Canis lupus familiaris: one gene and its partner. The protein of the gene in region 1 interacts with the protein of each later gene in a biochemical or structural test. Links are inferred from orthologs where the notes say so. Each region holds a gene or a part of one and is shown in the gene's direction. Other genes may lie near its edges. The genes, in order: TNKS2 and LNPEP.

What was found.
Region 2: the proteins of TNKS2 (region 1) and LNPEP form a complex in vitro, tested with the Homo sapiens proteins (4 studies listed by BioGRID and IntAct, with this or other methods). The link is inferred for Canis lupus familiaris from reciprocal best matches to the Homo sapiens genes TNKS2 and LNPEP.

The regions. Positions count from the first base shown.
Region 1 is NC_049249.1:6,462,132-6,466,698, forward strand, and holds the start of TNKS2 (poly [ADP-ribose] polymerase tankyrase-2), read left to right. Parts: upstream 1-1,662; 5' UTR 1,663-1,677; coding exon 1,678-1,876; intron 1,877-4,567. UniProt on the Homo sapiens protein: Poly-ADP-ribosyltransferase involved in various processes such as Wnt signaling pathway, telomere length and vesicle trafficking.
Region 2 is NC_049224.1:12,803,094-12,807,472, reverse strand, and holds the start of LNPEP (leucyl-cystinyl aminopeptidase), read left to right. Parts: upstream 1-1,370; 5' UTR 1,371-1,416; coding exon 1,417-1,468; intron 1,469-4,379. UniProt on the Homo sapiens protein: Release of an N-terminal amino acid, cleaves before cysteine, leucine as well as other amino acids. Degrades peptide hormones such as oxytocin, vasopressin and angiotensin III, and plays a role in maintaining homeostasis during pregnancy.

The DNA.
Region 1 (4,567 bases):
CTACTTAAGTGAAAAAAGACCACAAAGACTGACAGTTTTATAAAGCTCCAAAACAAGTAAAACCAAACAGTAGAAAGGATTTAACAAGGGCAAATTGGTATACAGGGAATAATAAAATTGGAAATACATTTGGCAAATGGATGAAATGGAAAAGAAAAAGATAGATGTAATAGTATTGGTGCTTTAGTTCTTAGTTAGATGCACCCATGGATATTCAGTTTATGCAATATAATTTAAATTTACACGACATATATAATTATGTATGTATAATTATATAACTTATATATGTACAAAAATGTTCCTAAAAGCATACATCCTCTACCTTCTTGCACAGTAGTGAGTCAACATTCCCAAACAGAAACTGAATTTCCTGAAAAACAGGTTAAGAAGTTAAAGACAACAAGGGAAAAATGCTTGTCAGCATGCCAAAGGTCAACATGTGTCATTTCATGTAACCATACCTCACTTTCACGCAGTTTCCTGAGGCCAGGGCCTGGAGTAGGGAATAGCTGGATCACTACATTAAGCGTGACAATTAACTGTGCGCTTTTCTTTGATGGTCTATATACGTATGCAGACCTATATATGTGTATATGTGTACATATATTAATATGTAATTATATATAATTCGTATATTATATGTAAGTATTATATAAATTAATATATATCAATGCAAACTATTAACCTTTGTCTGCGATGCGTATGCCCACTGTGTCCACACCTCAGCCAAGTCAGTACAATGTTGATACACTCGTGGGCCCGTTCGTAAGTTCTGAGCTAATGACTGTGGAAGAGTAACGTATCAGAACCATCGCTCTCAATTAATTTAGAATCGGAACACACTTTCATCACTTTCCTAACTTACTTTAAATGAACTTGGGGCAGCTCATCCAAACTTCCCACGAAGTGGGAAACAACCCATTCGTTTTCCACATGTGACTCACAAGAAACAACAGAATAGCAGTTGCAAGGCAAGGGAAAAGACAGGAAAGAAAACGGGAAAGAAATCCACCCCCCCCCCCCCCCCCCCCCCCCCCCCAGGAAAGGGATTGTGAAAGTTGAAAAATGGATTTCCACACTAAGAATTCCAAAGCAATACGCCAGATCGCGGGGACACTTCCAAAGGCTCTTTTCAGGGTAATAACAGTAAGGAATTTCAGCTCGGGAAATCCATGCCTTAACAAAGCGAAACAAAACCACCCGGCTTCAGCCTGACCCACTGCAAAGATGGCGGTGGGACGAAGCCCCTTCTCCTCCAGCCGCCGAAGAGCCTCGCCTCACATTACCCACAAACCCCTCCGCGCGGCCTCGGCGCGGAAATCGGTCGGGCCGGTCTCCGATCGCTGCGCACGCGCGGCACCACGTCACCGGCCCTCCCAGGGCTCCGCGGACCTGGCAGGAGGGGCCTTGCCAGCTTCCGCTGCCGCGTCGCTTCAGGGCTGGAACGGCGGGGTCGCGCTGCCTCCGCCACCGAGGGGCAGCCGGGGGTCGCGGGGCCGAGCGAGGGCCGGGCGGTGGCGCGGCCATGGGACTGCGCCGAGCCCGGTGACAGCAGGGAGCCGAGCGGCCCGGGCCCTGTGCGCGTCTCCTTCAGGGGGCCTCGCCCTCTTGCTCGCAGGGCCGGGGCTCCTGCTGCGGTTGCTCGCGCTGCTGCTGGCGGCGGCGGCGGCCAGGATCATGTCGGGCCGCCGCTGCGCCGGCGGGGGCGCGGCCTGCGCTGGCGCGGCGGCCGAGGCCGTGGAGCCAGGCGCCCGCGAGCTGTTCGAGGCGTGCCGCAACGGGGACGTGGAGCGAGTCAAGAGACTAGTGACCCCGGAGAAGGTGAACAGCCGCGACACGGCTGGCAGGAAATCCACCCCGCTCCACTTCGCCGCAGGTAACCGGGACCCACGCCGGCCTCGCCTCGCCTCGCCCTGCACCCCACCTGCCCGTCCCGGCTCTCGGGCCTGAAACCAAACACTCTGCCCCCGTCTTTCCGCCTCGGACTCCGCTGCTGGTCACCCCGCTCTCGTTGATTGGGGACTGAGCGAGGACATGGGGCTAGGGGGCGAGCGTGCCCCACTCAACTGGAATTTTTTTTTTTTTTTTTTTTTTGCTTTGTTTAGTATCAACAATACCTGTACCAACTTCCGGTCTTGCTACTCTAGAAAGGCTTCCATACACAAGAAAGAGTAGGGAACTTAGACCTTGTGATTTGAAAGGCCAATTATCTCCAAAATCTGTCTTTCTTGCAAGTTCCACTATGACTGTTGTCAGTCCTTTGGGTTAAGGGCTTAAAGGCCTTTGTAAAATGCAAGGATGTAATTTACGGGGTCGCTTAATTAGCCATTGACACATTATTGTTAACGGGTTTAGCGGGGTAGTCAGTCATTAGCAAGATTTTGGAGAGTCTAGAACTGCAAGTAGTCGTTTGGGCGAACTGAGATCTAACTTAAGGTGGGTGTGGGTGGGTCGTGGCTGCTACATATACTAGTGGAGGATGAGAGGAAAAGGTAGTGCAGGTACTTTAGCTTAGACCTAGAATTAAAGTTGGGGCCAACCTCGCCTTATTCTGAGATTTAGATCGTTTGAATTACTTTTCCTTTAATATTTACTAGATTGACTTTGTGATATAAAGGTATTAAGTTTAATTGAAGAATCTAGAAGAACTGGGGTGAGACCGTATATTTCCATAAAGCATTTATACTTCTCACTTGGAGAAGAGATTCTAACTATATCCTGATTGAAAATGGGAGTAGGTTCTCATGCTTGTAATAATCTTGTTTTTTTCATTTTGTATTACATGATTATTTAAAATAGTTTTTCGAAAATGTAAAATTTCGAAATGTAAAATGATACCCGTCTTTTGGAGTAGGCACAATGAGAGAAAGTGTAAGAAGAATTTCCTTGTTCACAGACATTGCTTTTACTTGATTTGTTTGCTTTAATTTGTCCTTATTTTAAAATCTGAATACTAGAAGGTATGCTTTATCAGTTACAATTTTGTCAGGTTCCTGTTGGGGAGCCTTTTTAAGAGGGAAGTTGGGTGAGATAGCTAGAAACAGCCTGTGGGTAGCAGAAAGGGAAAGGAGAAAAACACTGAAGTCAAATCTCACCTGTTTGCCATTTTGCTTAAAATTTTGGTGATCAGTGCTGTCTTTTCTCAGCTATTTTGGATTGTCCTGTTTAGCCGTGTAATCAACATTTAAACAACTGATTTGGCAAACTATCATAACTGATAAGTAATCCAAAGGGTAGTGTTACTTAGATTCTGTTCACTTGATCTGTGGGATAAAAATAGCGAAGCAAGATCTTAGTTGCTACCTTTCAAGAATTTGGTGTATTAATGAGTTCACATCTGAAAATAGTAATATTTAGAGGTTATGGGATTAGCTTTTTATTGACCTTGTTCCTCCTCCACCATCCTACCCTTAGTTCTGTCCCAACATTTCAAAGCACTTTTTTACATAGATTTGATGTGGCTCAGACAAATGGAAAATTTGTTTTGGGAACTAACCTATCTCACTATTTACCCAAATTATCTGGTACAGGTTATACAACCAATAATTCAAGGTGTAAAAGCAGAGTAATAAAAATGTCTAATGGCGTACAGTAAACAAGAGCATTAAAAGCCCTGCATTTAAACCCAAGCATATAAGAAACTTAAAAAAATTAGCTTTGTAAATTCAGTCTGAGTTATTCATTAATGAGAGAACCTATTTTAATTTTTAAATAAATTCATCCAGCTGCATTTTCTCCTATATGTGGAAAATGTATTTTATAATCTTCTGTAGATAGTGTCAGTCATATTAACGTGCATGTAAACATGCCATTGGAAACTCAGTGTAGGTGTGGGGACTGTGAAACTGCCTGACCAAGCAGTTTCTTGTGTTTGTACATTGTAGGATAAGCTTGGGGGGGTGGGTGTTTGTTTTAAACCAATTAACATTTGGAGGTTTTTTGGGAGGAGGGGACACATTTTTGTCTTTCTGTTTTGATTTCCAAGGAATAAGAATGAGAGATCTGTGCAGCAAGGAAATGAATCATGATAAGAGAACAGTTTAGAAAAAATTTAGTCTGTCTTTTCATCTAAAATGTTTAAATTAAAAGAATAGTCATTTGCTCCCAGTAGTCTACTCCCAAGGAGTTAAGTTCTGTTAATGAAAAATAACATAAATAGGAACATTTCTTCAACTTGGTGTTTTTTATTATTAAAATAGATTGCATTTCTTTGGGATCCCTGGGTGGTGCAGCGGTTTATCGCCTGCCTTTGGCCCAGGGCGCGATCCTGGAGACCCGGGATCGAGTCCCACGTCGGGCTCCCAGTGCATGGAGCCTGCTTCTCCCTCTGCCTGTGTCTCTGCCTCTCTCTCTCTCTCTGTGTGTGACTATCATAAATAAATAAAAATTAAAAAAAAAATAAAATAAAATAAAATAGATTGCATTTCTTCTAGCTAAATGATTTGAGAAGCCATTTTTAACATTTATTTATTTATTTATTTATTTATTTATTTATTTATTTATTTTTTTTTTTTTTTTTTAGAGAGCAGGGAGAGAGCACAGAGTGTGGGGGAGGCAGAGGAAGAGA
Region 2 (4,379 bases), on another chromosome or scaffold:
GGCCTCCTCGGCGGAGCGAGCCACCCGGAGCCCGTCTCCGCCGGGAAAGCGAAGCCTCGAAGTCTGGGCAGCGACCTTGGCCCGCGGGCGCCCGCCCCGCCTCCAGGTGCGGCCTCGGGGCGCCGCCCGGCCGTCGGGACAGCCGCGCGCTCTCTGCAGCCACCGCCCCGATTTAAGGCTCGGCGGGACAGTTCTCTCGGTCTTGTGCGCCTCTGTGTTTGCTTAGTGTCTGTCTCCGGGATGCCCCCCTCCCCGCACGGGGCAATGGTCGTTGTTTTTTTTGTGGGGGGCGCAGTGCCGAGCTCCCGGCGCCCAGGCCCCCGAGGCCGTCTCCTTGGCTGAGTGACTGACTACGGCCCCGGTCCTGCGGCCCCGCGGCGGCTGCGAGGCTCCCGGGGGCGGGGCTGCCGCAAGCCCCGCCCCCGTCAGGCCCCGCCCCCGTCAGGCCCCGCCCCCCGCCTGTCCCAGGCGCCGGCCCCCGGGGGCCGTGCGGTGTTTTCCCCTCCGGCCTCCCTCGCGCTCTCTCTGCGGCTGTTGCAAAAACCTGGAGCGGCGGAGCCTCAGAGCGGCGGAGCGGCGCCGCCCCTCGCGGCACCTCCCCGGCAGCCCTCGGCGGCCGCGCTGGGCATGCTCAGTCGGCAGCGCCGCTTCGGGGCTTGGAGGAGGAAGCCGGGGCGCCCGGGCGGCGAGGAGCGGCGGCGGCGGGCGGGGAGATGGATCCCTTTACTAACGGTGAGCGGGCGGCGGCGGGCGGCGGGCGGCGGGGCCGGGCGCCCCGGGGCGCGGAGGGCGGCTGGCCGCGGTGACACGCGGGGGCCGCGGCGGGGGCGGGGGCGGCAGGGGCGGCGGAGGCCCCCGGGCCCGGGGCTGGCTGCGGGTCGGGGCCGCCGGGCGCGGGCGCCGGGGCCGGGTGGGCGCGCCGCAAAGTTCGGGCGGCTTCCCGCGGCGGAGGGGAAAGTTGGCCTCCCGGGTTCGCCCCCGCGGAGGCGGCGCGCGCCGCGGCTCTAGGGCCGGGAGGGTCGGACCGCGGCCGCTGCCTGCAAACTTCTGCGGTGCAGGGAGCTGGGGTCCTTCGGCGGCGGCTGCTGCGGGGCGGGGTGGGGGGGACCCGCGCAGAGGAGGGATGCTGCTGGGTCCTGCGCTGCCGCGGAGCTGCCCGCCCGCCCCGGGCCCCTGCCGTGGGTCCCGGGGGAGGCCCCCCCACCCATCCATCCACGCATCCACCCATCCCTGCAGGGCGTTCCAGCTCCCTTTCGGGGGCTCCCGAGGAAGACCTCTTAAATACCAGGGGGTCCGTCATGCTGATCTCACAATGTGACTTGAGGCCAGAGCCGGAGCCTTGCAGGATGCCCTGCAAACAGCCCCAGCTCCTCACGGAGCGGACGCACACGGTGGATCCCACCCCGGGCAAAACCCATGGCTTTGCTTTGGCCCCCCACCCCCCAAGTGCTAGAGTCACAATACAGGGGTGAGATGTCTTCACCGTTTTTGTTTTTGTTTTTGTTTTGGTGGACTTGGAGTATATGGGGTTTCCTTTTGGGGGACCAGAAAGTAGGAAGGATGCCGGCGAGGGAGAATTGACCCTAAAAATTAAGACGATTCAGTCTGTGGCTGACATGTGTTTTTCTTGCGGGTGGTGGTTGGTTGCTCCAGGTGGACAGTTTGTCGCATTAGTAGATGCGAACGCCTACTCCTGTTTAGGGTCGGTGGCCACCCCAGAGGTAGAGGCATTGTCCACTGGACATCCCAGGCCCTAGCCGGACTTTCCGTAAGCCTGTTCCATACATGGGACTGCGAATTATCCTAATCTCCCTGTCCCTAGTTCAGGGTGCTTTCTTCTACTGCCATCTTCCTGTCTGCACTGTCTCATTAGGCTCAACGGTGGCAACTTTAATTCTGCATTTTCTTTCTCAATCAGGTTCTTTTATTAAATTATTTTTTAGAGATTTTATTTATTTATTCATGAGAGACAGAGAGAGAGAGAGAGAGAAGCAGAGAAACAGGCAGAGGGAGAAGCAGGCTCCATGCAGGGAGCCCGACCTGGGACTGGATCCTGGGACTCCAGGGTCAGGCCCTGGGCTGAAGGCGGCACCCAACAGCTGAGCCACCCAGGGATGGATCCCTCAGTCAAGTTCTGTTTGTAATAACTAAGGCTCTAAGAATAGTCAGGTAAAGTCACTAAGAGAATTAAGGAATACTGGAACCAGAAGTAAACTTAGAGAGCATCCAGTATTTTAGTGTCAAATACGTTTCATATAAATCATTATGTCCTTTCAAATTAATATTCCAAGCCTTTTTCTTTGTCTGAGATAGAATATTTGGAGCTTCCATGTTCACAGGACTTTTTAAATGTGAACTTTCGACTTAAAAAAAAAATTCCCTCGCAACAAGGCTGAGTCACCCATTTGGTCAAGACTGGTGCTAGCCGATTTGGTAGACCCGTGCCTATAGAATTAAAGTACATTCTCACATCTTCCAACTGGAGTCTTTTCTCCCCTCTTAAAATATGGTCCTCTGTATGTGAATATTTGCAAATCGTCACATTGGCGAGGGCAGTGGAAAAGCCCCAGAGAAGTGAACAAAGACAGACAAACGCTTCAGCGTCTATGTAGGAAATTGGTTTTTTAATCCTTTTCCTATCTTCCAGATTTTCACAATCTGCTGGAGAACAGTTTGACAGTGCATTTTAGTTAATGTGTTAATCACTCCTTGAAGGCTTATCTAAGTGTCCTTTAAAAGGAAATAGAAACTACAACACCTAAAGTCAGCCAAAAATTAGCTCCTAGCAGTTTGAGGTGCTTTTCTGGGTTAAGATGGACTGTTTATTTATTTCAAAAGTTTTGAAGGATAGCTGTAGAATTTTTATAGTGTCTTTAAATGGGACTTGTTTAAGCATGTTTATCTTTGTACTTAATTCTGTTGGGTACAGAGGATATCTACATCTAATTCTTCTCCTTTAGGTCTGGGGGTTTTGGTGCAGAGTATTTTCTTATGCAGAGAATTTAAAATTATAGGATTTATCAAGCTTGATATTGGCTTTTGCACATTCACTCTCTTCTAATAAAATCTTCACCACTTATACTGTCTCATATATATCTCTGCTTATAGGAGAGGTGTGAGAGCTTAACAAACTAGTTTTGGCAATTCAGAACCACTTATCTTTTAATTAAAATGTTGTCAATAGTTTCATCCTCTGACCTGGAAATTTGTAGAAGAGGCACATTTAGTTTCTGTTTTGTGGTTTTGTGACTTTCAGTACTCATCTATTCCAATAGGGCTTTCTGTGCTTTCCCTGTTTTCCATCAAAAGTTGCTGCTGGTGTGGCCCATTTGTCTTGGGCCCTGCTCTCTGCCTGCTCTGCCTGCTGATAATGGGTTCATTTGATGAATATCCTATGTTAACCTGTCCAGGTAACATGCTGCTTCAACCTGTTTAATATGCTTATCTCCAGAAAGGTTTATAAGAAGAGACTTCAGTGTCAGGAATTTCCACTGGGCTCAGGAGTTATTTTTGATCTTGCCCTTGGGAGGGGACTGCTGACTGTTACACTGCAGACTGGATATCCAGTCTGGCTTTGGATTCTTGGTGACTTTTCTGGGGAGAAGGATGTGCTGGACTAGTTACTCAAGATTGATTTGGCAGTAACTATTATGTCTTGTTAGGCCGTTAGAGATGACTTCTTAGGAAGTAGTGATTTATATATCACTAAAACCCAAAAAAATAATGGCAACTCTCTAGATCTTTTGATACATGTACTAGGTTATGGCAGGTAGTTATTTGATGACTGTGTTGCTTTATTTCTCTTTATTTCTTCTCATTTACATGCAGGATTAGAGTATTTCAGAAGAATTTAAATTCATGTTAAGGAATGTAAATGCCAGGGCTCACTCTTAGAATCTGATGATGGAGTTCTAAGGTTAGGGCCAGGAATGTGGGACTTCATTTTGAGGATACTAGAAGTATTCACCAGAAGGGAGCTTTTGAGAACTTAATTAGGTAGGCAAATTCAGGATTTGGAAGCATATTAATGGAGGACTTTTTTTTTCTTCTATGAATACATATATAGTAGACATATAACTATAACTATAACTATATATATATATATATTCCACCCCCTCCCCCCATGCTTTTTAGTTTGTGGTATCTGGAGGGTGGAAAAGCATTGATATTTTGAAGTCCCAGAACTGAAAACATAATTTAAATGGTTCATCATTTTTTTTTCTTATGAACAAAGCTCCCAGGAAACACTTTGGTACTACAGCCTGGTTTATAACCAAACAAGGGGAATTTACCTGTCTTACAAACTGTCTTTGTTTTTGTTTTCAGATTGCCATCCAATTGAAAATATTCCCCAACTTCCAAAATGGGAAATCTGGAAA